Tamandua tetradactyla: one gene and its partners. The protein of the gene in region 4 interacts with the protein of the main gene of each other region in a pairwise test. Links are inferred from orthologs where the notes say so. Each region holds a gene or a part of one and is shown on either strand. Other genes may lie near its edges.

Region 1 (7,337 bases), on a different chromosome or scaffold from region 4:
GTGGGAGTCCGCAGCGGATCGGTAGTCCTCTTCAGCCCGTGCCTGAGGAACACAGACCGCGCGTCGCCGCCGGAGAGGTGCGAGGCGCGGAGCCCCTCGGGAAATGCAGTCCAGACGCCTCGCTCCTTCCGCCGCGAGAGCTGGAACTACGGCGTCCCGAGCAGGGCACCGAAAGTCATCTCCGGGCTTGCTGGGAGATGTGGTTCCACCCGGGATTCCTTCCCTTGCCCTTGTCTAGATAAGCGGCTCGTGTGGACTACTATTCCCAAGGCACAGCAGACTTCGGCCCTAGGGACCTCGGAGACTCTGGGAAATGGAGTTCGCGTCACCGGGAGGCGTGGGCTTGGGAAGGGGCAGGGGCAAAGGGTTAGTTTCAGTTCCTGGAGTGACCGCGGAGGCCGGTCGGTACAGCGCGGAGGGGAGAGGCTGAGGGAAAGAAGTCGGCTGGCCAAAAGCAGGGCGGAGCCCGCGTTCGGCTGGAGCCTCGGGCCGGGCGCGCCTAAACAGGCGCTGCACGCTAATTCTGTGGCTTGCTTGCTGTAAAAGGGGCGAGTGATTTGGTGTCTCACAAACCGCTCAGTACCTGCTGCGATGTCAGCTCTGACACCGAGCTCTCGACACCCGCTGCTTCCAGGGGAGAACGGAGTGTCTCGAGAGTTGGAGGTAGCGGCTGGCTCCCGGGCGGGATAGTGGGCGCATGGCCACCAGGGGCCGCTATAGGACAAGTTTCAAGACCCGTGAGACCCGGCGCACAGATTAGTTTGGACTCGACTTTTTGTCCTGAGTGGAGAGCACAGGAAACTCTTTATTATGATGATGCGGTCATCAGGCCCCGTACAGTTGATCTTCACTCATGCAAACTTAACTGCCCTCATCCCACTCGGACTTGCCGGCCCAGGCTTCTGCGGCCCACGGTCGTCCTTGGGAAGGCTCTCCTCACCTTTTCTGCTGCGCGTATGGAGCCGAATTTGCTAGTAGCCGGGTCAGGCGGCGGGCGGCCGTCGGCCAAAGAAGCTCCCTACAGTCCCTTCAGGTGGTGGAGGGAGGGGGGCTACAGGAAGAAGTCGAGGCCCGGGACGGCCTAGAGGAGGAGTAGAGGTAGGTGGAGCGAATGGTCCATCCCGGCGGGAGCTGGCTGGGCGAGTGGCCGCGCATGTGTGCCTGCATCGAGGCCAGGCGGGGGCAGCCCGCCCGGCACAGAGGGCAGCGGTAGGGCGCAGCCCCGTGCGTACGCAGGTGCTTGGTCATGGCCGAGAAGTCCCGGGAGCGCTGGGGACAGAGGCCACAAGAGAAGGGTTTCTCGCCTAGGGCGGACAGAAGGGGAGGCCAAGTGAAGGAAAGAAGGCAAAGCCTGCTGAGCTAGGGGTACATCAGGCGATGGGGCCAGCCAGTGGGTGCACGCGAGCTGGGCACGCAAAGAGGGATGCAGGAGCGCACAGACTGGAGTTGGGAAGACACTGGGCAGGAGCCCATACCTGTATGGACTCGGTAGTGCGTCTCCATCTGATGCTTGAGTGAAAACCTCTTTCCACAGACAGAACAAGAATAGGGCCTTTCCCGAGCAGGAGGGGTTGGGGGAGAGTGTTGGTGAGATGAGTAGCCTGCTCTCCTGTCCTGACCCATGTGGGTTTCTAGAGGGCCTGTGGGCACAGAAGAGTCAAAGGAGGGCAAGGATAGGCATCCCAGAACCGGGTCACTGAAACACCCAGGCAAGATATTAGGGCCACAGTGGGAAAGCAAAAGCACCTTCACCCTACTCACCTGTGTCCCCCTGATCAGACGCTTCCATCTCCCCAGGGTTGAGCTGTGTGGGATACTGGGGGAAGGAACCTGGAGGGAACAGAATGAAGTAGGGGCCCTACTCAGGCTGGACTCCTGGAGCCCCTGCCCCAGAGGAAGGATCACATTATAGGGCAGCAAGGAGCTTACCTGGGGTGGAGCTGGAAGAAGCCAACAGGTTCTGGCTCCAGAGTCCTTTGTGGGGGTTCAGGGACAGTGGGGTCCTGAGGAGGGTGCCGGGGGCAGGGCGGGGGGCAGAGTTACAGCTTTGGCAAAGCATAGGGGCCTAACCAAACCTGTCCTTGTCTGGGGAGGTGTGTCCTAAGTCTTCTTCAGGGGCTGGGCTCTGGCTTCCCCTGTGGTGGGAGCTTCCTGTACTATCCCCAGCTTAGGAAATGTACAGTAGAAATAAAGAGATATGGTGCCCTTGCGCCCATCACCACTACTGGGCCATTCCCTCCCAGCCTGGGAGGTCTTACACTAGGCCTTTCACTTACCTCTGGTTCCAAGGCCAGACCTCCTGCCAGGCTCCATTGAAGGGGGTGCTATGAGAGAAGGGAGTGCCATATCTGGACGGCCATAGCAGGATGCTCCACAGGGCAGGCTGATCCTTCCCCAAGCAGGGGCCCTCAGCCCACCAGGGCCTGGGGATGATGCTGGCTTGGAGGGGACTTGTTAGTCCCCGAAGACTTGCCTCAGAGTCCCCTTGACTCTCTCTCACCCACATGACCACTTCTGGCTTCCCATCTCTCCCCCCTTGACCAACCAGGGATTGGTTGAGTTTCTCCTCCTTTGATTTCATCTGTACCCCCTGTCCCTCCCATATTGCCCCTGCTATGTTGGGGCTCTCTCTTGGTGGCTTGGACTCATGCAACATCTCTTGTTCTTTCCCACCAGCTCTGAAAAACTTCTCTGGTCTCTGCTTCTCTCTAAAGCCTCCCAGTCCTCTCTCAAAATCCTTTAAAGGTTCCTCTGACTCCTCCTGGTGTTTCTTCGGCCCTGGATCCCACTCCTCTTTAGCCCTGTCCTTTTGAGCCCTGCTGCATGCCTCTTCCAGAGCCTGTACTCCCAAAGTCCTGGCTGCCTCCTCAAGGGGCCCTAGCTCCCCAGGCTGAAGCTCTACACTCTCCCCATAAACAAACTGCAGAAGCTGGGCAAAGGTGGAAGGGCTAATGCCTTCCACCAGAGACCACTGGCCCCTGCGGCCCAGCTGCTGGCTCACACCTGCTAGCACCAGGCTGTGGGCAGGGAACTCCTGACTACCCACAGTGATTAGGGCATCACATAGTGCTGGCCAGAGCCTGGCTGCCAGCTGTACCAGCCGGTCAGAGTTGTAAGGACTGAGCAGTCTTGTGGGGCTCAGGGGCATTGTGCCTTATCTGGGTACCAATCTCAGAGGTTCTGAGAGGAAGGTCACAGTGTAGGGTCCTTGGTGGAAAGGGGAGGGAGGAACGGCATATTCTTAAGCCTGTGAAGGTGAGGGGAGAAAGAGTCCAGGATCAGCTCTATGATCTGAAATGGGGCAAATAAACTAGCCCAAGAGAGAGCTAAGTTTATCCAGAATCATAACAGGGATGGGGCATAGGGATGGAAATCAGACCAAATTCAAGACTTAAAAAGCAAGGACCAGGTAGTTAACAAAAACACCACCAAGTAGTGAGTTTAATATAGGTGGGAACTACCAGTTTGCAATTTGACTTAAAAAATAGCAGACTCTGATATTTCCACTTCTTTAAGCCCCTCTGAAGAGCAAGACCTTTGAGCAGGCCAGACTTTCCTCATTCCAGACAAAGAGAGCACCACCAAACTCAGCCAGCCCTGGCATTTAGGGATGGCACAAGACACAGCTTCACGGGCAGAGTTTAGAAAGCTACCTAAACTCTGTCCTACCACCCCCCCCCCCCCCCCATGAGCCCATCAAGTGGAGCTCAGTCTCCTGAGAGATGGAGAGCAGCAAGAAAGGGGTCATGGCTGCAGGAGAGCAGGCTCAGGCATTCCCCTGAGGCTGAAGCTTCTAGAATGCATCCTCAGAGAAGGAACTGGAAGAGACCAAAGATTACTGTCCAGTGAATTAAGAGAGTAGGTGGTACAAAAACCACAGAAGAGAAGGTTCCTAATCCAAGGATGGCGAGGTTTTGGAGAAGGCTTTGACTCCTGAGGAAGTGGAAGAAAGGGAAATGGGAACTATAGAGGAGGAGGCTATTTTCTCTCAAGATTAGGTTAGGGAGATGGTTTAATTTTGTTTTTCATGAGTGAAAAATAGAGAATTGAAAGAACCCAGCAGGGCAGGAGTTTACCATACATCAGATCCACCACACTGGCTTTCAAGAAGAAAACTGGGAACCCAGTTACAAAGGGAAATAATCTAAAACAAGGTGCAGGTTCCCAGCAGCCATATTCTGAGGGGTGGGCTCACCATGAACAAGGACCCTTGTGGGAGGGAGAACTACTACTTGGACAATTTAGGTTGAGGGTTGCAGGTTGCCAGGGAGTTGGGGGTGGTGGTGGATATATTGGGAGGAAAGCCTCAGCTGGGGAGAAGCAACCACTCACCGGTTGTAGCTTCCTCCCTGGACACCGCATGCTCTGAACACTGTTTGGACTCCTGGGGGCCTGATGGAACTAGCTCCGCCCCTGACCTCAGAGTCCTCCATTGGATGCCCCAAATAACAGTCAGCCACAGTCCCCCAAAGGGGTGTGGCTTTTATACCCCTGACTCTGCTTCACTTCTCCAAGAAGAGTTACCTCTTCTATTTGCAGAACCTAGACATTTTGCCCCTTGACCTGTCTCCTTATTTCATTTGTGAACTCCTAGGGTCAAAGAAATGTATCTGGGGCAACAGGGACTTTTGGATAATCTGGCCTGCACTTGAATCACATCTCTACCATTTACTGGTCAAATCACCTTGGGCAAGTCTTCTTTCTCAGCCTCAGTTACCTCATCCATGAAATAGGTATACTCTCTCTTACCTCATTTGAAGATGGGGTGAAGATGAAATGACATGATGTATGTGAAAATGGTTTCTAAGTTCATAACATCATTCAAATAGTATTAGTTCTGTTTCTTAGAGGGGATAGTAGAGTCATAGTAGTTGGAAGCTGTTTCTGCTTCTACTTCAGAAGTAAAAAAGACTGAAACATCTGCATTCCAAGGAGAAGGAGAAGAAGGGCCAAAGGCATGCCTCCTCCCTTTCCCTGACTTGGTACTAAGAGGTATCACTTGCTCTTTGGGAAAGACCCCTGTACTCTGGGCCATCAGAATAAGGTATGTGAGTAACTCAAATCCTCCCATCATACTCTGGAGGGGGCAACCCCAGGAAAGGTCTGTGGTGGTCTTTGAAAAGAAAAATTCACTTTCTTGGGCTGATGACAAATGACATTTCTCTGAAATCAGGTCTCAGGGTTTCTTTCACTTCCTGCCCAATGGTCAAAGTCCCCAGAGATTTCCGCTCTTTTCACACGTTAGTACTCTTTAATCTGGGGAAGGGATGAGGTCTGAGAGACTCACATTTGTTTTTCTGTTTCTTTTTATTCTATTCCTGCTCCAGTAGTAAAATTTTCATTCAACAAATGTTGATAAATAATTTACAGTGTATACCTGGCATATCATATATGTTCACAAAATAACTGAAAGTTAAACAAGAATGTCAGGCACTGGTAGGCTGCCTTGCTGACAAAAAAGACAGTCTGGCTCCTTGGCCTCCCATTGAGATCCCGGTCCTCTGCAAGACTCAAATTTTGTGTCTCTAAGTTCCTATTCTCCCTTGGGCTCCCAGACCCTAAAATGTTCAGGTTAACCTGCTGTTCTCTCCTTCTATGCCTAACATGCCTTCCCTCTAACTCTCATCCAAGTTTGGGTGCAGGTAGGTGTTAACACATCCTAGATCATACAGGGTGTGCCAATGGGTGGGGCTGGTGGAGGGGCAATGGGGTGCAGAGAGGGGAAGATGAGTCAAAGTGAAAGGAAAAATGCAAATGGGCAACTTGTATTCATCTACTACTACTCTGAACGTTAAATATTTTCCATTTCTGAGCTTTCTAACTCTTCACATCACCACACCTAGGGACTCATCAAACACCCACATAAAAGACACATAGCCCGGACACACAAAGGGATAATCAATCCCTGATTTGAATGTACATGGAGAGAATCCTTCTTCCAACACAGAAACACATGATCCTTAAAGATATGAAATAAATTAGGAAAGCCATGAGAAGGATGCCCGAGTGTCAAGGAAAAGGTTAGGGGTCTGGGAGAGCACATCATCACCCAGTAGATTATGGTTCCCCTCACCTCCCATCGCTATATTGCATGCCTGCAACTCAGCTCCTGTCACCAGTGTGGATCATCTCTTAATGATCAAGAGATCTGGAGACTGTTCAGAGGGCAGCGACCTCTGTAAGCCAAATGTGGGTCTTGACAAGAGTATCATGGACTTTAAGGGAGCCTAAAATGGAGAAGGGGCAAGGGGACTCCCCATTTAGGGAGCAAAAGTCCCCAAGAATGGGAAACCCCATCTTGCCTCTCGCTTGGTGTCTACCCTACCTAAGGATATCCCCTTAGAGACAGCTCCTCTGAGGTATCTCTAGAGCTCTCTGTACCTCGACCCTTAGAATCAATGATGCTCTAGGCCCTTCTCTAGTCTCTCCCAACATTGCTGACAGCGCAGCCCAAGCCATCCAGCACTGAGCAGTGACAACAGAAACAAATAGCTCCTTGACTTAAAAGGATACAGACAGTGCTGACTGTTATTGAAAGATCTCTGCTCCCGACCTCAGGAACCCTGCCCACTTTCTACTTCGCAGGCTGCCTCAGCAGATATTGCCTATAATTATCCCCTTTGAGTGGAGCCAGGAAACCACAGGCCAAGAGGGCATAAGCCTGCATCCTGAGAGAAGGTAGAGTGGGTAGAAAGGTAAGAAAAGGAGTTATGTGATAAAAGGAGGTATGATTTCTGCCTCTCAGTGCTTTCGATACTCATATTACTAAATGATGTTTGAAATTTGATAATTTTAAATTCTCACTAATAGGCTTGACCAAAGGGACAATAAGGGGGGAAAATGTGTGAGGGGCTTATTGCACACCATGTCTGCGGAACTAAATAAAAAACTGCCCAGAGATCCTGGCCTCATAACCCCCTTCAGGCACAATCCAGTTTGATATAAAAATTGTGCACTTAAAAATAGTTAAAGTGGAAAATTTTAACTTACCTACATGTTACCATGATTAAAGAAAGAAATGAAAAAAAATTGGCACAGCAATGCAAAACATAATTCTCTTTATAATTGAAATGAAGCCATCAGAATAAGTCTGTTACAGGGATAATGATTTGTTTTATGAAAATTGTTCACCCTTCACTTATTTTAAATATTGAGCTCTCTCCCATTTCCAGGTCAAGTTAAACAAGATTCAGCTTTGAAAAATTCTGTGAATTTGCCACTCTTCCCAGGAATACATCTTTTCAGGAAAATTAAGGTGGCTAAACCCTCTACAACATTTTATACAGATTAAGACCAAATTTTACATGAATTTTCAAGATGTTTACTCTTCTTAGTTA
Region 2 (8,327 bases), on a different chromosome or scaffold from region 4:
CTTGAGGGAGTAAAAAGAGAAAATGTGCAGTGACTGTTGTTCACAGGTCTCTACCATCAATTGTTTCTCAGTCTAAGCCTTTTATTGCAAGACTTGCCTGAGTTACATAAAAATAGGTGACATCCATCTTTTCAAGCTCAGTACCTGCCTGCCACAATAAAAAGTTACAGCTTAAACTAATTTAAGTTGATAAGAGCACTGTATTAACAATGATTGGCTACACTGGGTCTGACAGCTGTCTAGTCTCTTCATTTCCCCACAGCCCAGGGTTATTCTTCCCAGGGAGACAAATCACATTCTAACCTACAATACAATTATTTTCTCAATCCTTAATCTTTCCATATCAGAAAAAGTAGCAAAGGTAAAAAAGGAGGCTGACTTTATTATTTTGATACAAGAGTAAATGTTTGGACATTTAAAGTCAGACAAACAGCAGTATGCCATAATTAACATTTCACTAGTTACACTTAAGTCTTAATTCAAGCAATACAAAGCTTTTTTAATGAATGACTGGAATTGCAACTTAAAAGGTTTAAATGTATCTTTTTTCGCCTTCTTTTCTGGGATAAAGCATTTTCAACAGGAACACTGGATATTACAAAGTATTAAAATAGTCGTTTCCTTCCTGATAGTTCTTTTAAATGTAAAAAAATCAGACACCATATTAGCTTTGGAAAAGGAGTGTCAAGCATCTCAAAAACTTGATTTAAAAAAAGAGGGGGGAAGAAACATTTTACTAAAGACACCAAAGGATATCTAAAATCACTGCGACTCCAGGCACTCTATGAAAATGCCATACATCTTTTAAAATAAAGAAACCTAGATACACAAAACCAAACAAACCAAACAAACAATACCTCCAATCATCCAACGGTCCATTTTTTTTCTAGAAGTCAGCTCTCTTACCTTCTTGGAAGCCTCAGGGTGCAGGATTTGCCTGACATGAAGCTGCCCATCAGTACAAAGACAGAAGGAAGTTCCTACCCCAATATTCAGTTCGTTGCTTACTGACTGGTTAAACTGGAAAACAAACACATATACAACGGATGCAATTAATGCATGGATTTACGAACTCTACAAAGTGGCTCCATTTGGTGATACCCGTGCTAACTATAGGGGCGAATGGAGATCACCGGTGCTGGGGGCAATATTAGAAAAAAAGACTCCATTCCTACAAACGCGGCAATGCTTCCTTTAGGCAGGTAGGTAGGTCGGATTGTTTCTAAACAATCCGAAGTTTTCACGTAGGAGAAGCTAGTAAATGCATCCTCCCGGACTGTTTTACCCTTCTATTTTTCCGGTAAATCGATTCAAGAACTTTAAGCCAGAGATCTCGTTTCATCATCAGATTGCCTTCAGATTACATCATTCCCTGGTGTTACTTTATGTTTGAATGTACCAGGTTTAAGAAAGATGTCAGTCCTGATAAACAAATGTGGGTGATGCGTATACAGACAGACCTCTAGAAAATATGGTAACCCCTTTCCTAAAATACACCCCAGGTAGGATAGGGGCCGCAACAGAGCCGAGCACTTATCGGTGCACAGGTGTCTAGAGCCCCGCCCTATCCTTGAAACAGCCAGTTTTTAGGTCACCTCAGCTCCAAAAAGGGTATTCCCCTAGTGACCCAACGAGCAGACCTACAAGTTCGGACCTGCAAATCCTACCCCGTGCTAGAATCAAGGCAGCTAAGGGTAGTGAGGAGGAATGGAAGCGAGGCTTTGGGAGTGGAGAAGCCTGAAATCCAGAGCGCAAGCAGACTCCTCCAGGTTGCGACCAAGCTGGGGCAGCCGGGCCGGCCCGCACGTCTACACCACAGCGCCCCCTGCCCCAAGGCTGAGCCGCAGACCCAAATCCGGGCAGGGGATAGGCAAGGGACGAGGGCCTTAGGATTCAAAGGCCGTTTGTCGCTCTCGTTACAGTAGCCTCTTGGTAAAACTTTGCTGACTCTTTGGTCCCAACAATGACTCAGGAAGCGCCTCGAAAACTAACGAGTTTCCTCGCAAGTTCCTGGCGGCGGGAGGCGAAGAGGAGCAGCGACCCCCGCCCAAACCGCTCACTCCGGTCTCCGGGCTTAGACTTGGCGGCCCTCGATGACCCGCTCCCATCCACGCCACCGGGTGTCGCACCCACCCCACCCCGTCCTGGCCCCAGGGTACGCGCGTGGACCGGACGAGTCGGGGGGGTCGCCCGGGACCTGGCTGATGTGGGGGTGGACTGTGCGGCCCTAGGCTGTCACCTGTCGAAGGGCTTGGTCCAGCTGCGGCGCCGAGGACAAGCTTTCGGCGTCGATCTTGGTTTCTTCTTTACAATCCTCGGTCAGTTCCAACTGATCCGGTCTAACTAGTACTTCGTGCAACTGTCCCACCTCCGGGGAGAGAAACAGGGGTCAGTTTTCCCCTCCCTCAGTTCGGAAGCCGCTTTCTTCACCCTCCTCCCTCGCTTCCCTGCTGAGGCGGCCCGCGCCGCCAGGACGTCGGACCTCAGACTCAAAGCTCGCTTGTCGCCAGCCGCCCGGTGGCCGAACAGTCGGCGCGTCCCTGCCCCCTCCCCTCCGCACCACCCCCACCCGGATCAAGTAGGAAAGGCCCTGGGAGTGGGCACGGAGACCCCAGGGATCCGGTCCTCCAACCCGCAGAGAACCTGCCCCCGGCGCGCGGGCCTCCGCACCTGAGCCAGATTTCCGAGGACTTGAAACCGCTCTTAGGCGGTTGGCCAACAAGTTTGGTTTTACTCTGGATTCCCTAGGCCTCGGGTCCAGCCTCACAAGTGAGCAAACAGCACTTGTTTACCGACTCCCGCCCCCCAACCCCCCCAAAAAACTTCTACAAAAACTTGTCTCATTTCTTGCTTTTGGATAAAAACGTACAGAAATACCTTCTTGTTAGCCAGATCCACCACTTTCCATAACAGCAAGATCAGCTCCTTCTCATCCGAGCCCAGCTTGGCCCCAGTGGCCCCAGCAGTGATCCCAAAAAGCACCACCAAGTAATCCGGAGAAGCCGTCATGACGATAGGTGGGGAGGGGGAGAAGGGGGGTCGGGAGGCGGTGAGGTGAGATGGAAGTGAGAACGGGAAAACCTGTGCTAGAGCCTCTTCTGAGAGAAAAAGAAAGAACGCCCACCCCCCCTCCTCGCCGCCGCCGGAGCAAAAGGCGGTAACCAACCACCCAAGCCCACACCTGGCCCGAGCTCCACACCCAGGGCAGGAAGGGGGGTGGGAAGACGGGCGCAGGAGGCCTGCCCTTTTTGTATTCTGTTGCCAGTGCGTCTATGCAAAAAGCTGGGAGAAGAGCTGCACCTCCAAGAGGCGCGCGCAATGGCTGAAAGCTTTTCTGTTTTGGGATGTGGCTCTACCTGCCCGCTTCCTCCCCTCCCCCTCCCCCACGTGGTGCAGGTAAGAGACAGACACCTGGCGGCCCTGGCCTATTGGCTCCTTCAAACCAAGGACGTGGCAGCGGTGGGGGAGGAGGCCGCCCGCGGTGGGGGTGGGGGTGGGGGTGGGGAGAGGGGGCGGGAGACAATGGCTGGATGAATGGAGAGGGGAGGGGAGGAGGGGGAGACGGGAGGGGCGGGCAGTTAGAGGTAGCCACCCACAGGTTTGTGAAGGCCAGATGGGAAAGGGGTGAGGGGTAAACGGCGCTGAGGGGAGGGTGGTGGCCTTTGGAAGCAAAGGAGAGGTGGGTCGGGGGAGGCTACTCGGAGGAAGGCCGACTAGAGGGAACGAAGCCGGAGCTGAAGGGTCAAGAGAAAAGGCCAAGGCGCCGGAAGGCGAAAGGAGGCCAGAGGTGAGACCTGGGGCGAGGAGCTGCCCTGGGCGCGGCGACCCGGGAGGGCATGCTGGCGAAGAAGGGAGGGACCGGCCAACTGCAGCCGGGAGGTGGCGGGGACGATTGCAGTGCATCGGAAAAGCCGTTCCAAAGCCCAACACACCTTCCAGTGCTAACAGCTGGCGAAACTGGCTGGCAGCTGCCCCACCCCACCCCCGTGCGCTCTCCACCCCCGGGGCTTATGTCCCCCTAAGCCCGGGGCGTCTCTCACTTTCCGGAGAAGAGCCTCGGGGGCGCGGCAGAGCCAGACTCGGGAGACTGGACGCCCAGCCACCAACTCACGTCCAAAGACGCAGCTACTCCGGGCGCTCCAGACCTGGAGGGCGACCCCCGTGACGAAATTCAGGGACTCCGTTTTCTCTAAATTACCCAGATAATTGCTCCGTTTGGGTTAGTTGTGACTGCTAGTTCGAGAGCCTTCCAGAACGGGCCCACTTCCTTTGGTGTGCCCCAGGCCCTAAATAAAATGTGTCTACCCTGCGTTCCTAATAAATGTTTTCCTAAATTAGGCCAAAATAGGCTTTTTCCTCGGTTCCCCGACCAAGTTCCCAAACAACCTCCCAGTTCTACCCCAGCTTCGTTTCCCCAGAGAGATCAAGCCAAGTGTGACTACCTCGTGCTGGGTTCTGTTGACATTTTAAAGAAAAAGACGATAAAGGGAAGTTTACTCGGTATTTTCAATCGATCTCTTCTTGGGAACACAGTTTCGTCTGAGGTATTATGAATTCCGCTCCAGGTGCCCAGCCCTTCGTATTTATGATGTGCAATCGGGCATCCACACACCTATCACTGCATCCATCCTAGGTAGAAATCGGGTAACCTTTCAGGACGCTTTTCAGGTGAAGCTGGTGACTGGGCCTAAGTGGGGAGGGGGTTGAGGCTCCTGAGACGCGAGAGGAACCCGAAGGGCGGGCAGCGGCGTTTCCAGGTAGGAAAGGGCGCGGCGGGTGGCGCAGGTAGGAGCTTGAGTCCCCGGAGAGAGGGCGGGGACCGGGAGTCGCCGGGGCGGGGATCCCAGAGCTGAACAGCTGCCAGTGCCCGTGAGGGCGCTCGGTAGCACCCTCGTCTGCTGCTGGTGTCCCCGAAGCGCGTGCTTCCCTCTCTGGATCTGAGAGTCAGAAAGGACTCCCCGCAGTCCCTCCAGTCCCTCCAGCTCACTAGCTGCGGAAGCCTAGCCCTGCCCAACCCTCAGCATCTTTGAGCCACCCTCCCGGGCCCTCGGGCGCCGCGGGGGCAGGGACTGGGCGCGGAAAGAGGCAGGGAGGGACCTGGAAAAACCACCCAGATAGCATTGCAGTGGGCGAGGCCTCCGGGAGGAGCCGGTTCCCTGAAGCCTCCTCCCCACCCCCAGGGCTTTCTCTGTGCGCGGTTCTCTCCGCCAGACCAGAGCTTGGGAGCTACAGCCCCGCTCCTGCGCGAGACTGTGTGTGTGTGTGGCGGCGGCCAGGAAACCTGACGTCTGCGGCGACTTTTGCTGAGAAAGTGGGTAGAACAACTCAGGAAGCCCGACCCAGGTGTTAAGATTAATCATTTGTCCAGCGCGTTTGATAAACCGAGGACTTTGTTAATGCGTTGGCCAGGGGTTCCGCCGCATTATCCAGATTGTAATCATGAATCTCAGCTCCCACTTTTCATAGAGACTTGCCCTCTTGCTGTTTAAGGAAGCCAGATCCCCGCTTTCTGATTTTTTTTTTTTAATTTTAGTTTTAGTTTTGTTCAACTAGATTTACAATATAGGGATTTTTTGTTTGGTTCCTTACTGTCCTTCCAGGGCTGGAAACTGAATCTAGCAATATACTAGGCACTCAACAAATATTTGTTGAATGATTTTAACGGGAAATACCCACCCACCTTTCCAGCTCTTTGTCTTCTGAGTCGAGGGCATAGTTCATAGCTGCAAAGGTGAAATTCTGGGAATGGGAATCTGCAGGTAATTTGGGTCAGTTGTTTAAAAAGAGTTGGTGTTAATTCTTGGGCAAACTTTTGTTAAAAAAAATCAACCTGTAAAATGCAGAAATGCTAAGAAAAAAATCTGTGATGTAATCGGATCATTTCTGAATACTATCTCACCATCTATTAATTCTAGTATAGTGAGAAGAATGGGTATGATGAAGTGGTAGGAACACTTAGCAGGGAGTTTCATTCTATCTATGGTCTTCACTCAAGACCACACCTAAAACTGCCCAAATAAGAATCGACTTTGAAAAAATACCATCTGAGACAAAAGACAGAAGAACTGAAGAACTGTTCCAGATTAAAGGAGATTAACAGGTATGACAAATAACTGCAACGTAGATCCTGGACCAGAAAATAAATATATATGACAAGCAGTGGGCAATTGGCAAAATTTGAATAAGGTCTGTAGGTTAAATAATTGTATGTGTTAATTTCCCAATTTTTGTAATTTTACTGTGATTTCTTAGAAGTTCCTGCTTATGGGAATTTGATGCTGCAGTGTTTATTGATGAAGGGGTATTATGGCTGCAGCTTACCCTCTCAAGTTTTAGGCAAAATACAGAGAAAGTGATAAAGCAAATGTGGTAAAATGTTACATTGGGGAATCTGGGTGAGAGACTTCTTTATACTGTTTTTTTTTTTTCTTTATGCTATTTTTGTAACTTTGCATAACTGCAAAATTATTTCAAAAATAAAAGTTTTTAAAAACACTTCAAAGAACTTTTGCTGCCTCTGCCATTCTTGTGTCTAACAAGGTTCTGATATTTCTATACTAACCTAATTCTTAATGCTATAGGGTTTTCTTTCCTTTTTTTTTTTTTTTGTTTTGTTTCATTTGTTTTTCCCTTAGTGGAGGAAGGGGGGGGAAAGTTCACCATTTTCTGTATAGCAATCATTTACTGTATAATAAATAACCTTTCCTAGACTAAGTAACTGCAAGCTCCTTAAAGCTTTCATGATGAATCTTAGTTTACTGCCTTTAATTATCTTCATTACCTTCCCTTGATCCTTTTCCTCTATCATTTCTAGAGGCCAGCTCTTGAACTGGACCGAATAAGAATGTGTCTGCTGGAATATGACCACTGGCATAATGGTACCTACATGTCGTATTATTTGTAGTGCAGTTTCCTTTTTGAGGCTACAGTAACAACATCACTTTTGCTGATTCCAGTTTCATTTGAGTTCTCTAGAACTTTCTCGGAGTTCTCAATTGCACATACCAGTTATTCTCTTGTATCTTTAAGAAAAGAGACTTTAAAAGTGAATCAAAGTATGAAAATATACTGAATTTAGACAATAATGGTGAGAGTTGTACAACCTTGTGAATATACTAAAAACTGCTGAATTGTATACTTTCAAGGCATAAATATTAAGGTATGTTAATTATATTTCAATTTTTAAAAAAATAGAAATCAAAATAAAACCCTGTTCTGAGGCTACCACAAGCCATTGATATTTCTTATTCTTATAGATGCAGTTATATATATATTTTTAAAAGGTGCAGTTGTAAAATAGACCACATTTTATACTCCCTGAACAAGTTCACCCTCTCTGAAGTGAAGAGGTAGGGGGGAGTGATGGTTATGATAACTAAATAAATGATAATTTTCTATGAATTTTTCTCTGTGTTATGCATGTAAATAAATTACCAGTCTGAACTTTATTATAGCAATTATTACAGATTGGAAAAACTCTGGACTTAATAGTCAGCCCCGCCATTTGCTCCTCTGCACTATTAAACTCACTATTAAAAAATGGGGCTAGTGGGCGGGCAACAGTGACTCAGTTGCAGAGTTCTCACCGGCCATGCCTGAGACCAGGGTTTGGTTCTCGCTGCCTGCCCATGTTAAAAAAATAAAAATGGAGCTAGTAATGATGCATACTTCATAGGTTGTAAGGGGAAAGGGAATGTGTAAAGAATCTTTCTAAATAAAGAAAACAAATCTGAGAACCAGGAAAACTACTACTCAAAGAGAAATGCACAAATGGAAAGGGTCCTAAAACACCAATCACAGAGGCCCTTAACTGTCTGATGTTAATTTGGCAGGCTGAAACAGAAGACTTTACTTACAGCTGTGTCATAAGGAAATGTACAGAAAAATACACATAGGGAAATGCACCATTAATCTGGGCATTGTGGCTTATAAAATACACCTTCTTCTTTAGGTTTACAGAACCGATCCCATTTAACTGCACATCCAGGGAAAAAAAGATGTTACTCAGGAAATTCCTACCTTTTTAACCCTAGTCTTATGCCATCAAGATATCCATTGCTTCCCCCCCAGTCCCTTGCCCAGAAACACATCCCTGCTCCCAAAATCCAGGCCAGAGAGAGCGAAGCTAAGCGACTAGACTTATCTTTTAAGGCAAGGTAAGGTTGACAGGAATGGATGTTTAAAGAAAGGTTTCAAGAAGGAAAAGTAGTTTGTTTCTCTTATGTCCTGAGTCCTGCTTCCTGATGGTCTGCCATTTATCCATCTATTGGCTGATAAAGAGTGAATTTTCGAGGATGCAAGGGTAATTCAGTGGTAGAATTCTTGCC
Region 3 (8,204 bases), on a different chromosome or scaffold from region 4:
CAAGATTTTTGACAAAGCAGATTCCAGATACAAAAGCTTCCCAACAAGGCCTGAGACAGAACTTTCTACCTCTCTCAAAATGTAAAGGACACATGGCAGACAGGAAAAATAAAAATATAAAAAGACAAGGCCTCTCTCTTCCTCCCCAAACACCCTGCGGCAAGCCCTTCAGACTGTCTGGCACAAAGTAGGTGCTCAATAAATATTTGTTGAATGAATGAGCAACTAAGGTCATCCTGCTTTGCCTTCAACCCAAATCCCAGAAGTCCTCTAGGGAAGCAAATTCAACCTCCTTCCTCAAACACTGTCACCAGCAACACATATTTATCCAGGGTGCTGAGCACACAGGGTACTGCAGGATTGGGACAGGGTGGCCACACAGAGGTGAATGGCCTCTACCTACCCATGTCTTGGGAGATAAATCTCAGGGAGGAAAAAAGGCTAACATCTAAAGAATGAGCGTATGCTTTGGCCACGTTGTGGGCTAAGTGCTGTAGGGAAAGAGTCTAATTTGACTCTCTCCTGTTGTAAATGCAAAACCCGGAAAAACTGGTTAACAACAGTGCCTATGGGCCTAAACGTTCCACCCTCCCAGGTCTTAGCCCAGCATCCACCAGGTACTGTTTCCCAGTCCAGGCCCTAGCCTTACTGCCTGGAGGAGGCTGGGAGGAATTGGTCTGATACCTGGATATTCCAGGGCTCCTGTTCAGGGCAGGGTGGGGAAGGCTCCCCTTTGCCAAACCTATAGGGAATGCTCTAAAAAGAGACAGGTATCACCAACTCCCATTTCTTAAGGCAACCCCTACCTTAAAGTCTTCTTCTGCCCAGGGCCAGAAAACAGCTGGGGAAGGCACCATGAAGGATCCCTGCTCCTCTCTCCCCACTGCCCACCCCAGCCAAGGATGCACAGCTCAGACGGTCTTTACAAGGAGAGCTGGGGACAGGACTTGCCAGGGGATCCCAGAAAGATAGGGAGGGCAAAGCCTACACCACATCCCCCTCCAGGCACTCTGATAGGCACCTGCCCCCTCCACAGAAATAACATCCTCATACCCATCTGACAGATGATGAAAACTGAGGCACAGAACCACTCATAAAGCTGGAAGATTCAGACCTAGAATTTGGTCCAAATCTCCCAACTCCCAGCCTAGCTATTCCTCCATTATGTATTGCTTCTGCCTTATATGGGTGAAAGAAAGTCCCCACAGTCTGTTTCCAATTCAGTACTGGGGAGAAAGAGGGTCATAGGGAACTCAGGATGCAGAGGCCAAAATCCTTACCACAAGAGAAGGGCAAAAACCCTAGTAGGCAAGGACAGATAAGTTCTGGAGGAGGGACTTCTTCTAGTTCTAGTGCCTCCAAGTCAATTCCTGCCCTCCAAAAGCTGAAATGGTCACTGGGAAGGTTAGCACCTTCCCCTCCTGCCCACAATATGTCCCTTCCTCCCCTCCCGCCCTTCCTTTCCTCCTAGCCAAACTTAGGAGGGACAGTGAAACGGCAACAACGCAAATGGTCCCTTCCCCTAAAAGTATGTATGAACATATTTCAGAACCTTGGAACCCCACCCCCTCACCCTGACTCAGAGGCTAAAGTTCATTGAGGAAGCTGCAACCCCAAGGGGGGAGGGGAGAGACAAAGTATCCAATGAGCTATCCTTTCCCAAACAAAACCCCCTCCAGATCAGCAATGAACTTGGCTTAAGGGCTTTGCAGCCCTCTTCCATCCCATACCCCATCCCCTGTCAGTTCTGAAAGAAAGGAGAGAATATTTGGATTTGGAACCAGCTTTGGGAGGTGGATGAGAAGACACCATGGGAAGAGGGATAAAATCCCAGGGACTCTTCTGGGGAGGGATGCTGAGGAGGAGCAGGTTTGGCTTAGGACCTTAGGGAGCTTCCAAGTGATCTGGATCTTACCCCAAAACTGTGCTGCAAACACCCAGTTCTACTCTCTGCAACGCCACCCCCCCTCCATGCACACACACACACCACCACCACCACCACCAAAATATAATGACAACCAGATGAACGAGTCCAGCTTAGGGGGTGGGGGCACACTTAAGGGCCTCAAGGGGACAGTGAATTTCCAGAAGGCCACCCTCCCCTCCCCCAAAACACTTCCCCCTTTCCTCGTCTTCCTCTGAATTCAGCCAACCCCACCCTCCATCAGGGAAACCTGCTTTGAAAAGTTAGGTCTTTGTTCTACAAGCCGGTATCCAGCTCTGAGCGCAATTTCAGGAGCTCTCTGCGAAGCACCCCCCACCCATCCCACTCCAGCACCCGACCCCACCCTACTCAAGCTGGGCTGCCCAGCACTGGGAACTGGCTTTAAATTTGAAGTGGAGGTTGGGAAGCTAAGGGTGGAGGTCAGTCATACCATTAACCACTGAACCACCAAGGGGGCTACAGGTCGGTCAAAAAGGGGGTCCCGCGGTGGGGCGGGGATCTTATCCGAAGCCCTCTTCACCAAATGCAACACTCCCCGGCTGATGGCCCCCGCCCCCCCAGTCTCCTGACCAGGAAGCGTGGCCATCCGCGGCCTGAAGGGACGGTTTCTCTGGGCCCCCCAGCCTCTGCCCCGCCCCCCCCGCCGCCCCCTCCCCCAGCGCCCGGCGCTTCCGCCTACTTGGCGCTCGGCTGGGCTGTGAGAGGGAGCGGCCGTCTCCTCTAGCTCTCTCGGCCCTAGGGGGCGGGACTGCACCCCTAATCTAACCCTCCTCCCCCGGCCTGGCTTCCCGGCTCCTTTCCCGTCCTCCCAGCCCCGGGGCACAGAGCCCACTCTTCTCCATAGTGGCTGCCCACGCGTGGACTCGGAGCCTCGTTCTGGATCCCCTGGATTCCAGACTGGGGACTGCCCCCACCATATGACACCGCCCTCCTTCCCTCCTCCCGGGATCGCAGGGATGTGAAGGCTGAGACCCGGCCCCTCTCTCCTCCCCCAACCCGGATCACTACTCGAGGAATTGCAAAGACGCAGGTCCGGGTCCCGGTCCCGAGCCTCACCTTATCCAGACAGTTCACCTTCTCCGTGGGGTACACGATCTTGCCGCACCGGGCGCAGTTGGGGTTCATGGCTCCAGGAAAGGCAGGGGCGGGGACGCCTGAGCTCGCGCGCGTTCTCTTTCCCGGGGACTGGCTGGCGGGAGGCTACCGCGGCTGCGACTAGGCAGGCAGCGGCGGCGGCGGCTGGAGCTGGGGAACTGGCCTCCGCCTCCGCCCTCCTTCCCCTAATAAACACCGCGGGGAGGAGGGGCTGCACCGGGGCGGGGACGCGCCGCGGGCGCGGGCAGGAACGCGCGCGGCGAGGCGCGCTCCCCGGGCAACGTGGGGCTGCGCCGGGGCGGGTTCCGGGGAGGGCTGCGGGGCGGGCGGTAGGTGCGTCTAGAGGGCCTCCAGCACCTCGGCGCGCCCAGGTGGACTGAGCCTTGGGGAGACGCGTCCGACCGCCAGATGCGGGCAGTCGGTGTTGCCCAGGGCCCTTCCCGCGCTGGAGGCAGCGCAGAGCGGGTCTGGGAGCGCATCTGGGACGCCCAGGCTGTGGGGGGTCGGGTGGGGTTGGAACGCTCCTGAACGCCCGGCTAGAGTCACTAGGGAGGCGTTATTCGGGACTTCCCTGTGTACCCGTTTGTCTCTGGGGTGAACCTGCGGGAATCCTCTCAGGTCCCCTCCCACTATACATCCTTTCCCACATTTGTGGGGCAGAACCCGTTCCTCGCTCGAGGAATCCGCGCCTCGCGGCCCGGCTGGTTCTTTCCTCCCGGCGCTCTGCCATGCACCTTTCCTCGGGGTTCCCCGGATCCGGGCACCCTGTGCTTCCAGCTTCGCTTCCTCTACTCCTTCATTCCTTTCTCCTTATTCCCACTCTCTTTTCCTAATGTAACAGCTGCAACAGTGTCTTAGCATTCAAAAAATCCATTGCCAGGCCCGGCGCTGGCGAGGGGGTATAGCTCAGTGGTAGAGCATTTGACTGCAGATCAAGAGGTCCCCGGTTCAAATCCGGGTGCCCCCTCGGTAGGATCTTTCACGTTTTATCACCACTGTGGCTTTCTTTTTCATTCTTGTTGTATGTGTGTAAGAAATGCAATAAATTTCTTTAAAATCATATCGTACATAAGTTACAAACGCTTATTTCCGCCACTCAGCTAGACCTTTTCCTGAAAGGCCTTCATTTCTTCCTTGATCCTGTTTCCCATAAGCAATGCGGAGCTGCGTCTGTTTTGGAAGGTTGTAGCTGACAAACACCAGTTTGTTGGTCTTTCTGGCTTGAGCGCTGGGCCAGGCCTATGCGCGGTGTGACGGAAGTGTCTCCAGAAAGGGAGGTGGGCGCTGGGATGTGGTCGAAGCGGCTGCACACGGCCACCGCGAGGTGGCTCACCCAGAGGAAGACACTCGTCCGTCAGCGTCTGTCGTGGACGTTGGCGCGCTGCGCCCTCTCACAGCCTCGCGCTCAAGTTGCGCCCGCGACCCGGCGCGCCACAGCCGCCAGGACACTTATGTTTTATACTTTCCTTTTCTTTGTGTGTGTGTGTGTGTGTGTGTGTGTGTGTGTCGAAACCCGCGAGCGAACCATTAATTCCTTCCTGATTCATATTTAAACATAGGGTCCTAGGATAACAGAAAAACGAAAAAAGTCCCTTCCGCATTTTCCAACCTTAGCAGAAAGTTTTCGGTTTTGTTTTGAGCCCAGCGAAAGGAGGAGGAGGAGGGGGTGGGTACACGCACAACTCAGGTACAATAGCTGTAGGTCGCCATTCTCCGCGCGAGGGGCTGCGGGGTTTCCGCGGGCAGCTGTGGCGGGCAGTTCAAGGTGCCGGGTTCAATTGGACGATACCCCAGATGAGCGTTCTGTTCCCTATGGGGATGCCGGGGGTGGGGGTGGGGGGGTCAGAACGGAAATCCACAGACAAACCTTCTCCAACTTCAGCTTCCTTTTTCGCCGGGGACTTGGACGTACTGTGGTCACCTTATGAAAGAGTGAAAGCACTTCGAGAACATTAAAACGGCCCGTGCAAATCCATAAACCCATTTTAAATTACAAAAATGAAGTTATATTCCGATGCAGTCTGATATAATCTAGTACAGTGATTTTCAAACATGAGCGTGCATCGGAATCACCTGGAGGGCTTCTTAAAACACACCCTGTTTGTTTCTGACTCCCTAGGCCTGGATAGGGCCCGGAGAATGTGCATCTCTGACACGTTCCCAGGTGATGCTGCTGCAGCTGCTCGGGGAACCACAGTTTGAGAACTAATACTACTAAAAGGCCACCGAGTTTCAAATCCTAAACATGGAGACAGATATCGCCTGGTTCAATGAGCAACCATATCACTGTTGGGCCGGAGGAAAATGAAAAATGCCAAGGGAGAAGCAAGAGCGTCCTGCGCGGCTGGATTTTGCCCCAAAAAAGGAAAAATTAGGGAGAAAGGAAGAAGCATGCTGCATGGGTTAGGGGGCAGCTGCGATATTTTAAATCTGGAATCTGGTTGTGTCATCCCTCTGGCTCGCGGGGGAATACTCGAATACATTCTTTTTCCACGGTTCCCGGGGCTGTGAACGGCCGGGCTGAGCTGGACGTGAAAAGAGCAGAGCTGTCGCCTACAAAGATCAGACCCAAGAAATAGCCAAAATTTTCAACCCTTTCCCCTAACTTCAGGCCTCAAATAATACGACCTACAATTTATCCAGCAAAAACCTTGCCTTTCAACTAATAAAAGGAAGGAAAACATTTTGCCTTTTTCTTTCTTGTATCTGTTCCCTGTTTTGTTAAACTTGGTGTGTAAATTTTCAGAATCTGGTTTTGTTCTAGTCTTTTGGGTCAGTATACCAACGAAGCAAAATAATATTGATCTCTCTCTCAACCTGCCCCACCACGCCATGCCATTTTTATCCAAGAATCGATTACAATTAACATTAAACCATGTGGAACCATGTAGTATCCAACTGATCTGGGTGTTCCAAGGTAGGAATAGCTGGGCGCCATAACTCAAGTGTAGAACTGAGAGCAGAGTGCGCACAAGAGTCGGGGAAGCATTAAAGTGATGCTCCTGGCATATCTGAGTTATGGCTCTCTATTTCTCTTTCTGTGGGAACATCTGAAGGGAAAACTGAACCTACATCTCAAATTAAATGAGAGTAATTTATTGAGAGCTTTGATGTTGGAACCTGCTAACTATTATCTATCACATTATTCTTATTTGGGTAGCTTAGTCCCTGAAAGGCAGTGAAAAACTTACTCCGCGAGGGGGCACCCGGATTTGAACCGGGGACCTCTTGATCTGCAGTCAAATGCTCTACCACTGAGCTATACCCCCCCTGCTGGCTTAAATGTGGTAGGTTTCTTTTTCATCAATTTCAGAGTTCCCATTAAACCATCTGTTTACATTAATCTGCCTTTTCTAAAAATGAGTGGGGTTATCAAAAATCTTACTCATCTTTCTCCCCTAATAAGTCAGAAAACAGCCCCTTGCAAAACTGGATATGGAATCTTTTCCCCTGCTCTTGCCAAAAAAGAATATAAACACCAACTGAAAGATGTCCCCAGTGAGGCCTTCCCTGACCAAACTCTCTAGTAGTCCCCCTGTCTTTTGGGGGGGGAAGGGGGGTGGTGAATGCTCACTTATGCCAATCCCTCTCTTGGTGCTGGAGATACTTTCCATAGAAAGATGCAAAGGCTCTTGCTGTCACTGAGTTTACAGTCTAGTGAGAGGGACAGACTAGAAATGGAGGAACAAACAAATAAACAAGGAAATACCCAGTGGTGATAGGAAAAAAATTAAAATAAAACACAAGTGATTTTTTGGAAGATGCATTAGAGCCAAGAGAGCCACAAGGAAAATGCCCAGGGAAGCCTTATGAAATGAGAGGAAGACATCAACATGTGTCTTCCCAGCCGAACTTCATCGGCCCTTTCTTTGGAGTTAGGTATCTTTGGTTGCCTTAATTTGGACATTTTCATGGCCTTAGAACTGTAAACTTGCAACTTAATAAGATCCCTTTTTAAAAGCCAAAAAATAAAACACAAGTTAGGGAGTACTGGAAGTCCATTTCAGGTTGGGTAGCCATGGAAGGACTTTCTGAGCGGGTCACATTGGAGTTATGACCTGAATGACATGACAGAGACTACCATCCAAGGGGACGTTTATTCCAAGCAAAGGGAATGGCTACTGCAAAGGCTTAAGGCCAGAGGAGCTGGAGGGAAGTGGGCAAGGGGAGAGCGATTAATGGGAGCTGGAGAAGTTGTCAGGGCTGTGGAGAAGCTTGAAGACTAAGGTAAGGAGTTTTGATTTTATCAAATGAGTTTTAAGCAGAGGGATTTTAAATTATCACCAGGCAGGTTGGGGAGATTTGTTAGAAAGTTGAGAATGGACACATATATACCTATGCAAAAAGAGTGAGCACAAAGAGACTAGTTAGGAATCTGTTGCAATAACTCAGGAGAGAGCTGGGGTGATGTCTTAGATTACATTGGCATAATTAGTTTCCTTTTACTGCTGTAACAAATTACCTCAAATTTAATTGCTTAAAACACCACAAATTTATTTTCATTCTGTTCCAGAAGTCAGAATTCTGAAATCACTTTCAGTGAGCTAAAATCAAGGTGTTATCCAGCCTGTGTTCTTGTGGAAGCTGTAGGAGGAAAGAGAGTTTCCTTGCCTTTTCCACCTTCTAGAGGCCACCCTCATTCCTTGGCTGGTGGCCTCTTCCTCCATCTTCAAAGCCAACCGCATAGTATCTTTTTTCCCTCTAACCTCTGCTTCCATCTATACTTCTCATTCTTTGACTCTGACCCTCCTGCTTCTCTCTCATAAGGACTCATGATTACATTGAGTCCACTAGGATAATCCAGGATACTCTTCCCATCTCTAGATCCTTAACTTGATCTCATCAGCTCAGTCCCTTTTACTGTGCAAGGTAACATAGTCGCAAATTCCAGGGATTAGGATGGACATCCTGGGGGTGGGGGGCATAATTTAGCCTTCCACAACTGGGAAGAGCAAAGATGAAAAGAAACGGAGGCATCCAGATTCTGCATGTCAAGAACAAGTCTTCTTTTTTCTTCACCATCTGCATGGATGGTGATGTGATTTCCTGACATAAAAAACACTGAGGAAGCCTGCAACAGTTGCTCAGTGGCAGAATTCTCACCTGCCATGCCAGAGACCTGGGTCTGATTCCTGGAGCCTACCCATGACAAAAATGAAAAAGG
Region 4 (7,559 bases):
AAAGGCCAAAGGCCAAGGCCGAAGGCACTGGACTGCTAAAGAAATGTTGCTCTAGTAAGCTCAGAAAGGTTTCTAACAAGTACCAAATACTTGTTGATCTGTTAACAAACACCAGTAAGGCTGTCAGGCTCCTTTCACCATGCAGAGAGATATTCATTTACATACCGCACCGAGTAAGAACTGGTTCTTGGTCTCTTTCGTAAACTTGAGTAGCTAGAAACCTAATTCAGTATCTCTTGTCCAAATGACAGAGAATTGAAAGAGGGTGCAATTGAAATAGTGAAGTCTCTCGTCTGGCTCGGGCAGCACAAATACTGTGCAGAAAACACTTGGAGTAGTTCAGGCACTCCCACCTGAATGGACCAAGGAACACTGTCTGTTACCATGGCAGCCTGATCTAATTACATGACTGATCAGGGCTGGAGTAAGTGCACCGAAAACCTACACCACTGACATGTATCTACATGATGAGAAAGACAGGCAGCAGGAGGTTCAGGAGAGCCCTTCGACCTCTGCTTTATGTAGAAGAAGGTAGTAGGCAGGCCCATTTATTTACGGAGCTGCTAAAATATTGACTAACGCCTGCACGGTTAGAGGGCAATCAAAGGAGATTAAATGGCACAGCACAAGCGGTTATGGTGCAATCCCTTTCCAAGAGTTCCTGTGCAGGATTTTCTCCTTCTTCTCTCTGGTGGTTTCCTGGGGCAGAGCTTCCTTCCAAAGAAGCCCAAGTATCAAACTATCATTACCCACCAAATAAACCAGAGGGTGGGCTTAGCAGGGGCTTCTAGGAACTGCAGGACTCCTCAGAAACCCAAAAAGAAAAGGCTTAGCTAATATTTTTGAAAAAGTAACCAGCTGTGCCTAAAAATAGCCATCTAGTAACTACCCACTGCTGCGCGCGATACAGAATGATGATGTTTAAATATTAAGAGCAGCCTGCATTATAAAACACAAATGTCATTGAGATGTGACTACTAGATTGCTAAAGCAGAACTTATTTGCATACAACATTCCCGTGCCTTCACCATAGGATTTGCAGGGAGGATGCCACTGTAAGGCATTAGTTTTCTTTTCTTTCTTTTTTTTTTTTTTTCCTGCGGGTGTAATGGGGTCTTCTAATTTTGCTAATTGTATCCTGTGGATCTCAGAAGGAAGCTAAGAATCTCTTCGGGGAAAGAACCAGTTTGGAAGAGTCCCTACTGCACAGCATACGGTAAACAAAATAAAAATAGCTTGCCGTTCTTGTTAGCCACATCGCGCATTATATAACCCGCTTCCGACTGGCTTTTTTTTTTTCTTTGCCATTACTACTCTTCAGCAATTTCCCAATCTTCTCAAGTATTTATATTACCATCTTATGTGTAGGATTATATACCAAGAAAGCGAAACAAAACAGAGCAGCCACGGTTATGACCCGAACCCCATCGTCCGTAGAAACTGTGATTTTTTTTGTTTTGTTTTGTTTTCTGGCACAATCTCGATCACCACCCTACTTCCACCCCCCACTAAGGTTCTTGCTCAATCTCCCTAGAAAACCTGAATTGTTTCATCGCTTCCAGTCAACCTCCTACGTGGTCTGAAATAAAATGAAAGCACAAGCCACGGAGTTTAGGAAGGCGGCCTGGGGGCGGGGGGCTGAACGGGGGTCGGGGCGCTGCAGAGTCGGCCAAGTAGCCACCGAGGCGCCCCCTCCCCATCGGGCGACGGCCCTCCCCCCTCCCCCCAACGCGCGCGCGCGCACACACACACACACGCACTCACACACACTCACGCCCCGCTCCGACACCGCCTCACCTCTAGCTCTGCGCGTCCGGCCCTTTCCCTGCCCCCGGCGGGACCGGCCTGCACGCAGCGCTGGAAGCTCGTAGGAGGAGGCGGCTGCAGCCGCGGGAGTAGCAGAGTCCCCGGCCCGGGCCGGCCCAGAGTGAAAGAGCGGCGGGGCTCCAGGGCGCATCCCAATCCCCGCAGCGCCTCCTCCGCCGCCTCCTCCTCCTCCTCCTTCCCCTCCTCCTGGCTTCATTCACCCTCCCAGCAGCCGCGCAGCCGTTCACTCCCAGCGCAGGGCAGCGCCCGCCGCGGCTCCCCTGCTCCAGCCGCGGGCGCTCGCGGACTCCGGGCTCCGGGCGGCGGCGGCTGCACATGATCAGGAAGCGGCAGCACCAACAGGGCGGCGGCAGCCGGGGCCGCCACCGCCACTCCAGCGGCGCTCCGGGCACCCGCACCCTCGCTGCCACCCCACCCCCACCCCACCCCCCGCGGCCACCTCTCCACTCCCCCGGGCCACGCGCAAAGTCCGGGCCGGGCGGCCGGCGCAGCCCTCTCCCCCGGCCGCAGCCGCACCGCCTCCGAGGCCGGCCTGCGCGGGGAGACCCCCACCCCCGGGCGCCGAAGCCGGGCGGCCACCCTCGGGGAAGCCCGGCCTGTCCGCGACCCACTTGCTCTTGCAGCTCCCGCCGGGGCGGGTGAATGCGGAGGGGGCAGCGGGAGGAGAGGGCAGCGCGACCCCCGGCCGCCGCCGCCGCCGCTCCCTGCGCCCCTCCCCCGAGGGACGACATGGTTCTCCGCACTCGGAGCAGGGCTCCGCCGCCGTCCGCGCCCCCAGCCCGGCGCGCCCCCCTCGCCTCGCGAAAGCCCACCCTCACTCCCCCAGCCCCGGCCTGCCACCCTGCCTGCCGGGGGGGGGGATGTGAGCCCCCGCGAGGCTAGAGCCCAGGACGGTTGTATGTGCGCACACGCACACACACACACACACACACACACACACAACACATCACAACGCGTCTATTTCCTTCGCTCCTCTTCCAGCTGTTTTCCGTGCCGCCTTTTGGGGTTTGGGGTTTGTTTGCTGGTTGTTTCTTTTGCCCCCCTCGAGAGAGCGCGGGGGGTGGGGGGGCATCTAAATAAGGGGAGGGGGAGGGGGAGGGGGAAGAGAATGAGAGGAGGAAAAAAAAAAAAACAGCCACTTACTGTAAAGTGTAAATGGATCTGGGGTTGCGTGGGGAAGGGGGGGCAGAGGGAGAGAAACAATGTCTTGCGGCTGCTGTTGCTCTGGCTGCTGCTCCACAGGGCTTGTTTTGGATCCCCCTGCAGTGAAACAGGTCCTGTACGGCGCCGCCACTGTAGTAGAAATGATGTCTGCGGTATACTCTGCTCTCTCCTCCTCCTCGCGCTCCCCTCCCCGCCTCCTCCCTCCTCTGGCCCGCCCGCCCGCCCTCCCTCGCTAGCTCGCTCGCTCCAGTATGTAAATGTGTAATAGAAGCCAAATATGGAGCAGTTGGCTGCCGCCGCCGCAGCTCAAGGATCTCACTTCTTGTGGGGGGAGGAGGCTGGGGGGGGAGCTTTGGCCGGCGGCCCGGCGAGCCTCACCGATCACGGCGAGCGGCCGGCCCCGCGCCCTTAACCCTTCGGGGTCGGGCGGTCCTCAGGGAAGGCGGCTCCTTTCCGCCGCCACTTCCCATCCCGACAGAGTGGCTCCGTGGGGGAGACAAGGACCCGGGCCCGGTTCCTTCTAGGTTTGCGAAAGGGGCGGGGAGCGGAGGCGATGAGGTCATTTTAGCGGTGATCTGTGGGTCCCCGCGCGCCAACCCCGGTCCCTGCACCTTGCCGGGGAGGAGGTACGAACAGCGGGGTGCAACTCTGGCACGCTGGGAGACCCTCCTGGGGGGGGGGGGGGCGGGCGCCAGCTGAAGCCTGGCTCAGAGCCAGTGCGTAACCCGGGGAGGGGGAAAGGGGGAGAAGGGGGAGGGAAGGTCAGCTCCACTCTAACCCCGACGTGCCCTTGGTCCCCGGCGCTCCTTAGAAGCGACTGCGAGGGCTGATTCGGATCACCAGCTGCAGGTTAACCCCGAAACCGATTTAGAGCCGGCCGTTCCGGAACCCAGACCCTGGGGCCGCGGGGTTTGCTCGTCTTCGCAACTCAGGAAAGTTTTAAGGGTCTTCTCGACTCCACGTGCGCCTTCACCTTCACTGCGGGCGAAAGCTGGTGACCTCTGCGCCTTCCCTCCTTTCTCTTTCTGCAGGTCCGGAAATCTGCTTTAGATATTGAACTGCTCAGCTCCAGCCGGGAGTGACGACCCGCAAACTCCTCTCCGGCTAATTCGGGATCATTAATTTAATCGGAAATGAGGTAAGCAGTGTAGGAGATAGAAAAAGCCAACCGAGCATCAAATGACAGTTCTCGAGAATCCACGCCGAAGAACTTCCTCCGGACTCTATTTTTCAGTCGGATCCTCTAACTCTCCGCCGCCCTGCCTCCTCTGCGTGTACCGCCTGCGGTGTGAGCTCGGTGGGAAGCAACCTTCACTGGTGGGGTGCACCTCGCCCACAGGTGTGGCACCTGGGGAAAAGGCATCTCCGTGCCAAGGAAGCTCGGCCAGCGTTCTCCTTGCTGCAGATCATTCTGGAAGGCCAGTAGGTGTCAGAGTAGCATCTGACCTCCTTGAGATACTCTGAACCAAGCGTACAGAAGCACGACCTCTCCACGTAAGTTTGACCGTACTCCGTATTTGAAACGCCTCTGGCCGAATTTCCGTATGACTTAAGGCTTAGTCACCAACTGAAAGCAGGATACAGAATCACCGAGAGAAAAGCATTTAAGCAACACTATCGTAGAACCCGTGTGCTTCCCAAAGTAAAAAATAAATATACTAACTAGGAAGGTAGTGAGCCCCGAAATTTTTTTTTTTCACATTTTGAAACTCCGAGCACATATATGGGGCTATTTAAATAGAGATACTACTGTTCACTCTTACTCAATTCTACAACTTTTTTTTTTTCCATTTAAAAAAATCAATGATTGTTACAATTTAAACCTCTGGTTGGTCTAAAGTGACATTGTTGGTCTCATTACAGCCTCTAGTGGACAGTTAAAATCATTTTCCTGGAAAGGCTCTGCTTGGTTTTGTTTCTGTTGACAAGCTTTATCAAAGTGAAGGTTAATATCGGAGAACATAACCACATAATATCTCTTCCCTCACTTGGCAGAGCCGACTTCCGAATCAAGCCGGGGCTTGTTGGCTTTACCAGGACAAGATGTAGGCTTTGAGCTACAGGTATTACTGTTACTAGCCTGTGAAGAAGCACAGAGCTTCTGCCATTTCTTTCCGTTTCAGACAGCTTTCATAAAAACTAAATTTATCTAAAATATTTTTATAGCAGAAAATATTGGTTGCCATGTTTTTGGCTTAACTGAGATGTTTTTATTCCAACTCATCATCTGCAGACTGCCCAACCCACCTCCACTCTACTTTTAGACATCTTACATTTAGAGACTTTTCAATAAAAAAAGAGCAAATATTTTAATTATTACAGTGACAGAAGCAGTTAATTTATGCTGTTTTAACAGCCTTAAGCAAATTAAAACACATAATTCAGATTAGCGCTAGTCCATTAATTTAAATATTCCCTCAAGCAAGCTAAATATGTATACTCACCAAACAGTAAAAACAATAGGAAATGTGCCATTTACTTTTTTAGCCATTAAGATTAAAGCCATAAACTGTGACTAAAATCTGTAACTATTTCTCTCTGCAAGGTCCAACATAAACATAAATGCTCATGATACACTTTTGTTACCATTAGCCCTGAAATACTTTGTTCTCAGATGGCAAAATATTAAACACACAGCCACAAATAACAGGCACTGGTTCTTTAAAAACAAGATTTTCTCATGCAAAATAAAAACTCAGTGAAAGAAGAAGAGCAGGGCTTTCAAGCAGCCAGTAGGCAAATATATAGTCCTAGAGTCCTATTCATAAACCTCGTATTATATTCAGACAAGTGTAAGTCAACCTTTGAAATTAAAGGAAATTTAGAAATAAAGCCTGCTGAGACTCACTACCTAGCTTGTGCTCTGGATTGCTTAAATACCATGGATAAATAATTATAATCGCATCTATTTTATTGTTTTGGTAGTGTCTAATTCGGAAGGTTTAAAAAGGGCTATCAAGTGAATACTATATCATATAATTATATATTATATCCCTGCTTCTTTAAAGAGTAGTCCTTGGAGCAGCAGCAGCTGGGAGCTTTACAGACATTCAGAATCAAGGGTTCCACCCCAGCCCTTCTTGCACGCAAATCTGCATTTTAGCCAGACCCCCGGGGCGATTCCCAAGTACTTGTGAGGAACATTGGTTTATACTACAGGGCTCTAGCTAAATGAACTTGGCCACAGGTGCAGAACTTAATTCTTTTATCTGTTCCTTTCCACTCCCTCCTCTCCTTTTTGTGATTTTTGGTATTAAAAAAATTATTACATTATATGCTTTGAACGGATAGTACTCCATTTCAGAAGAGTCCTAATTTATGCACAAATCTGTATCATCATTGTCAAAAGAGAACACTATGCTAAGAAATGTACTGGGGTCTCAGACGTGAATGTTTTCCTTATGGCAGCAGAGGGAGCACGAGAGTGCTTAATAAAACAGTGTACAGGCCCCCAAAGCCTAGCAGATTCTACGTTGTAGTATACCTTTTTATTGGAAGTAGACTGTTATGTAGTATAAGACAAGATAAAACAAACAAACCAAAACAGCTTGCCAGGTTATAACAGCCAAATAATTGAACAGATCAGAACAGCCTTTGACAGCTTAATAGAATGTTGATATATTTATTTAGAGTTGTATAAAGTTTAAAAGAAAGTGGACCTCAGAAGTCATAAAATGTCTTAGTTTTTCTCTTGTCAAAAGTCAAGATCACATGATAACAAAACAAGGCAATTCTAAGCGTAAATCCTGTTACTCTAAAAACATTGGCGTTAAGTTAACCCAGTGCAATTAACCATGCATCAGAGAAATTCATTTCATTTGGAATCACACAAATTATATGAAGTATGTACATTTTTTTGCAATGCTTACAGTGACAGTAATTGTAGGGGTTCGTCCTTAAGCCTGGGAGTAGCAAGAATATACGTTCCAATTGTGTCTATGCAGCATTTTGATATTTTCCATAGCTCTTTGGTATCGTATCCTCAAAAGCTCCCAAAATGTAGGTAAGATCGATGGTGAAGCCCAGCCTCAAAAAAGTTGTAGAACCAACTCATGCTTTCATTATATGTCATTTAATTGTTAGAATAAACCTTCGAGGTATTCACAGATGAATGAAATCACAGAGATTAAGGATCCAGCCACATGGTCATTGTTTTTGTGTTTTTTTTGTTTGTTTGTTTTTGACAGTTTCAACAGTTTTTCAAAGTACTATGTAGTGATTACTGAAAAGACACTGTCTTAATTCTCAAATTACTTTTTATTTACTTATTTCCCCAGCAGTCATTTATTACGGACCTACAATGACTAGGCACTGACAAGACAAAGACAAATAAGACACAGTGTGCAGAGAGTTCACAGCAGAACAAATCTTATCTTTTGAAAAAGGTTAATATTTACCATGATAAAACAAAAAGATTCGGAGGATTCCTCAGTGATTGGCCCAGCCCCTCTCAGAATCATCATACCAATCAGGCTTTCAAGTCTGAGATTCAAATACCAGAATCATTGAAAACCTGGGAGAGGGCAGTTGCTCAGGAACAAAATTTCTCCGAATTTCTGCCAGAGCTA

What was found.
Region 1: the proteins of ATXN1 (region 4) and ZBTB32 interact in a two-hybrid assay, tested with the Homo sapiens proteins (2 studies listed by BioGRID and IntAct). The link is inferred for Tamandua tetradactyla from reciprocal best matches to the Homo sapiens genes ATXN1 and ZBTB32.
Region 2: the proteins of ATXN1 (region 4) and ESRP1 interact in binary tests that used the Homo sapiens proteins (3 or more experiments, as listed by UniProt). The link is inferred for Tamandua tetradactyla from reciprocal best matches to the Homo sapiens genes ATXN1 and ESRP1.
Region 3: the proteins of ATXN1 (region 4) and LASP1 interact in binary tests that used the Homo sapiens proteins (3 or more experiments, as listed by UniProt). The link is inferred for Tamandua tetradactyla from reciprocal best matches to the Homo sapiens genes ATXN1 and LASP1.

Annotation. Positions count from the first base shown.
Region 1 is NC_135342.1:30,268,283-30,275,619, forward strand, and holds ZBTB32 (zinc finger and BTB domain-containing protein 32), read right to left. Parts: upstream 3,161-7,337; 5' UTR 3,149-3,160; coding exon 2,277-3,148; intron 2,004-2,276; coding exon 1,930-2,003; intron 1,831-1,929; coding exon 1,762-1,830; intron 1,641-1,761; coding exon 1,476-1,640; intron 1,305-1,475; coding exon 1,030-1,304; 3' UTR 768-1,029; downstream 1-767. UniProt on the Homo sapiens protein: DNA-binding protein that binds to the to a 5'-TGTACAGTGT-3' core sequence. May function as a transcriptional transactivator and transcriptional repressor. Probably exerts its repressor effect by preventing GATA3 from binding to DNA.
Region 2 is NC_135332.1:138,183,882-138,192,208, reverse strand, and holds the start of ESRP1 (epithelial splicing regulatory protein 1), read right to left. Parts: upstream 3,268-8,327; 5' UTR 3,010-3,267; coding exon 2,878-3,009; intron 2,369-2,877; coding exon 2,240-2,368; intron 1,021-2,239; coding exon 907-1,020; intron 1-906. UniProt on the Homo sapiens protein: mRNA splicing factor that regulates the formation of epithelial cell-specific isoforms. Specifically regulates the expression of FGFR2-IIIb, an epithelial cell-specific isoform of FGFR2.
Region 3 is NC_135332.1:28,270,657-28,278,860, forward strand, and holds the start of LASP1 (LIM and SH3 domain protein 1), read right to left. Parts: upstream 3,268-8,204; 5' UTR 3,071-3,267; coding exon 3,002-3,070; intron 2,540-3,001; exon of another isoform or gene 2,516-2,539; intron 1-2,515. UniProt on the Homo sapiens protein: Plays an important role in the regulation of dynamic actin-based, cytoskeletal activities.
Region 4 is NC_135351.1:19,862,264-19,869,822, forward strand, and holds the start of ATXN1 (ataxin-1), read right to left. Parts: upstream 3,181-7,559; 5' UTR 2,971-3,180; intron 2,112-2,970; exon of another isoform or gene 1,798-2,111; intron 1,640-1,797; exon of another isoform or gene 1-1,639. UniProt on the Homo sapiens protein: Chromatin-binding factor that repress Notch signaling in the absence of Notch intracellular domain by acting as a CBF1 corepressor. Binds to the HEY promoter and might assist, along with NCOR2, RBPJ-mediated repression. Binds RNA in vitro.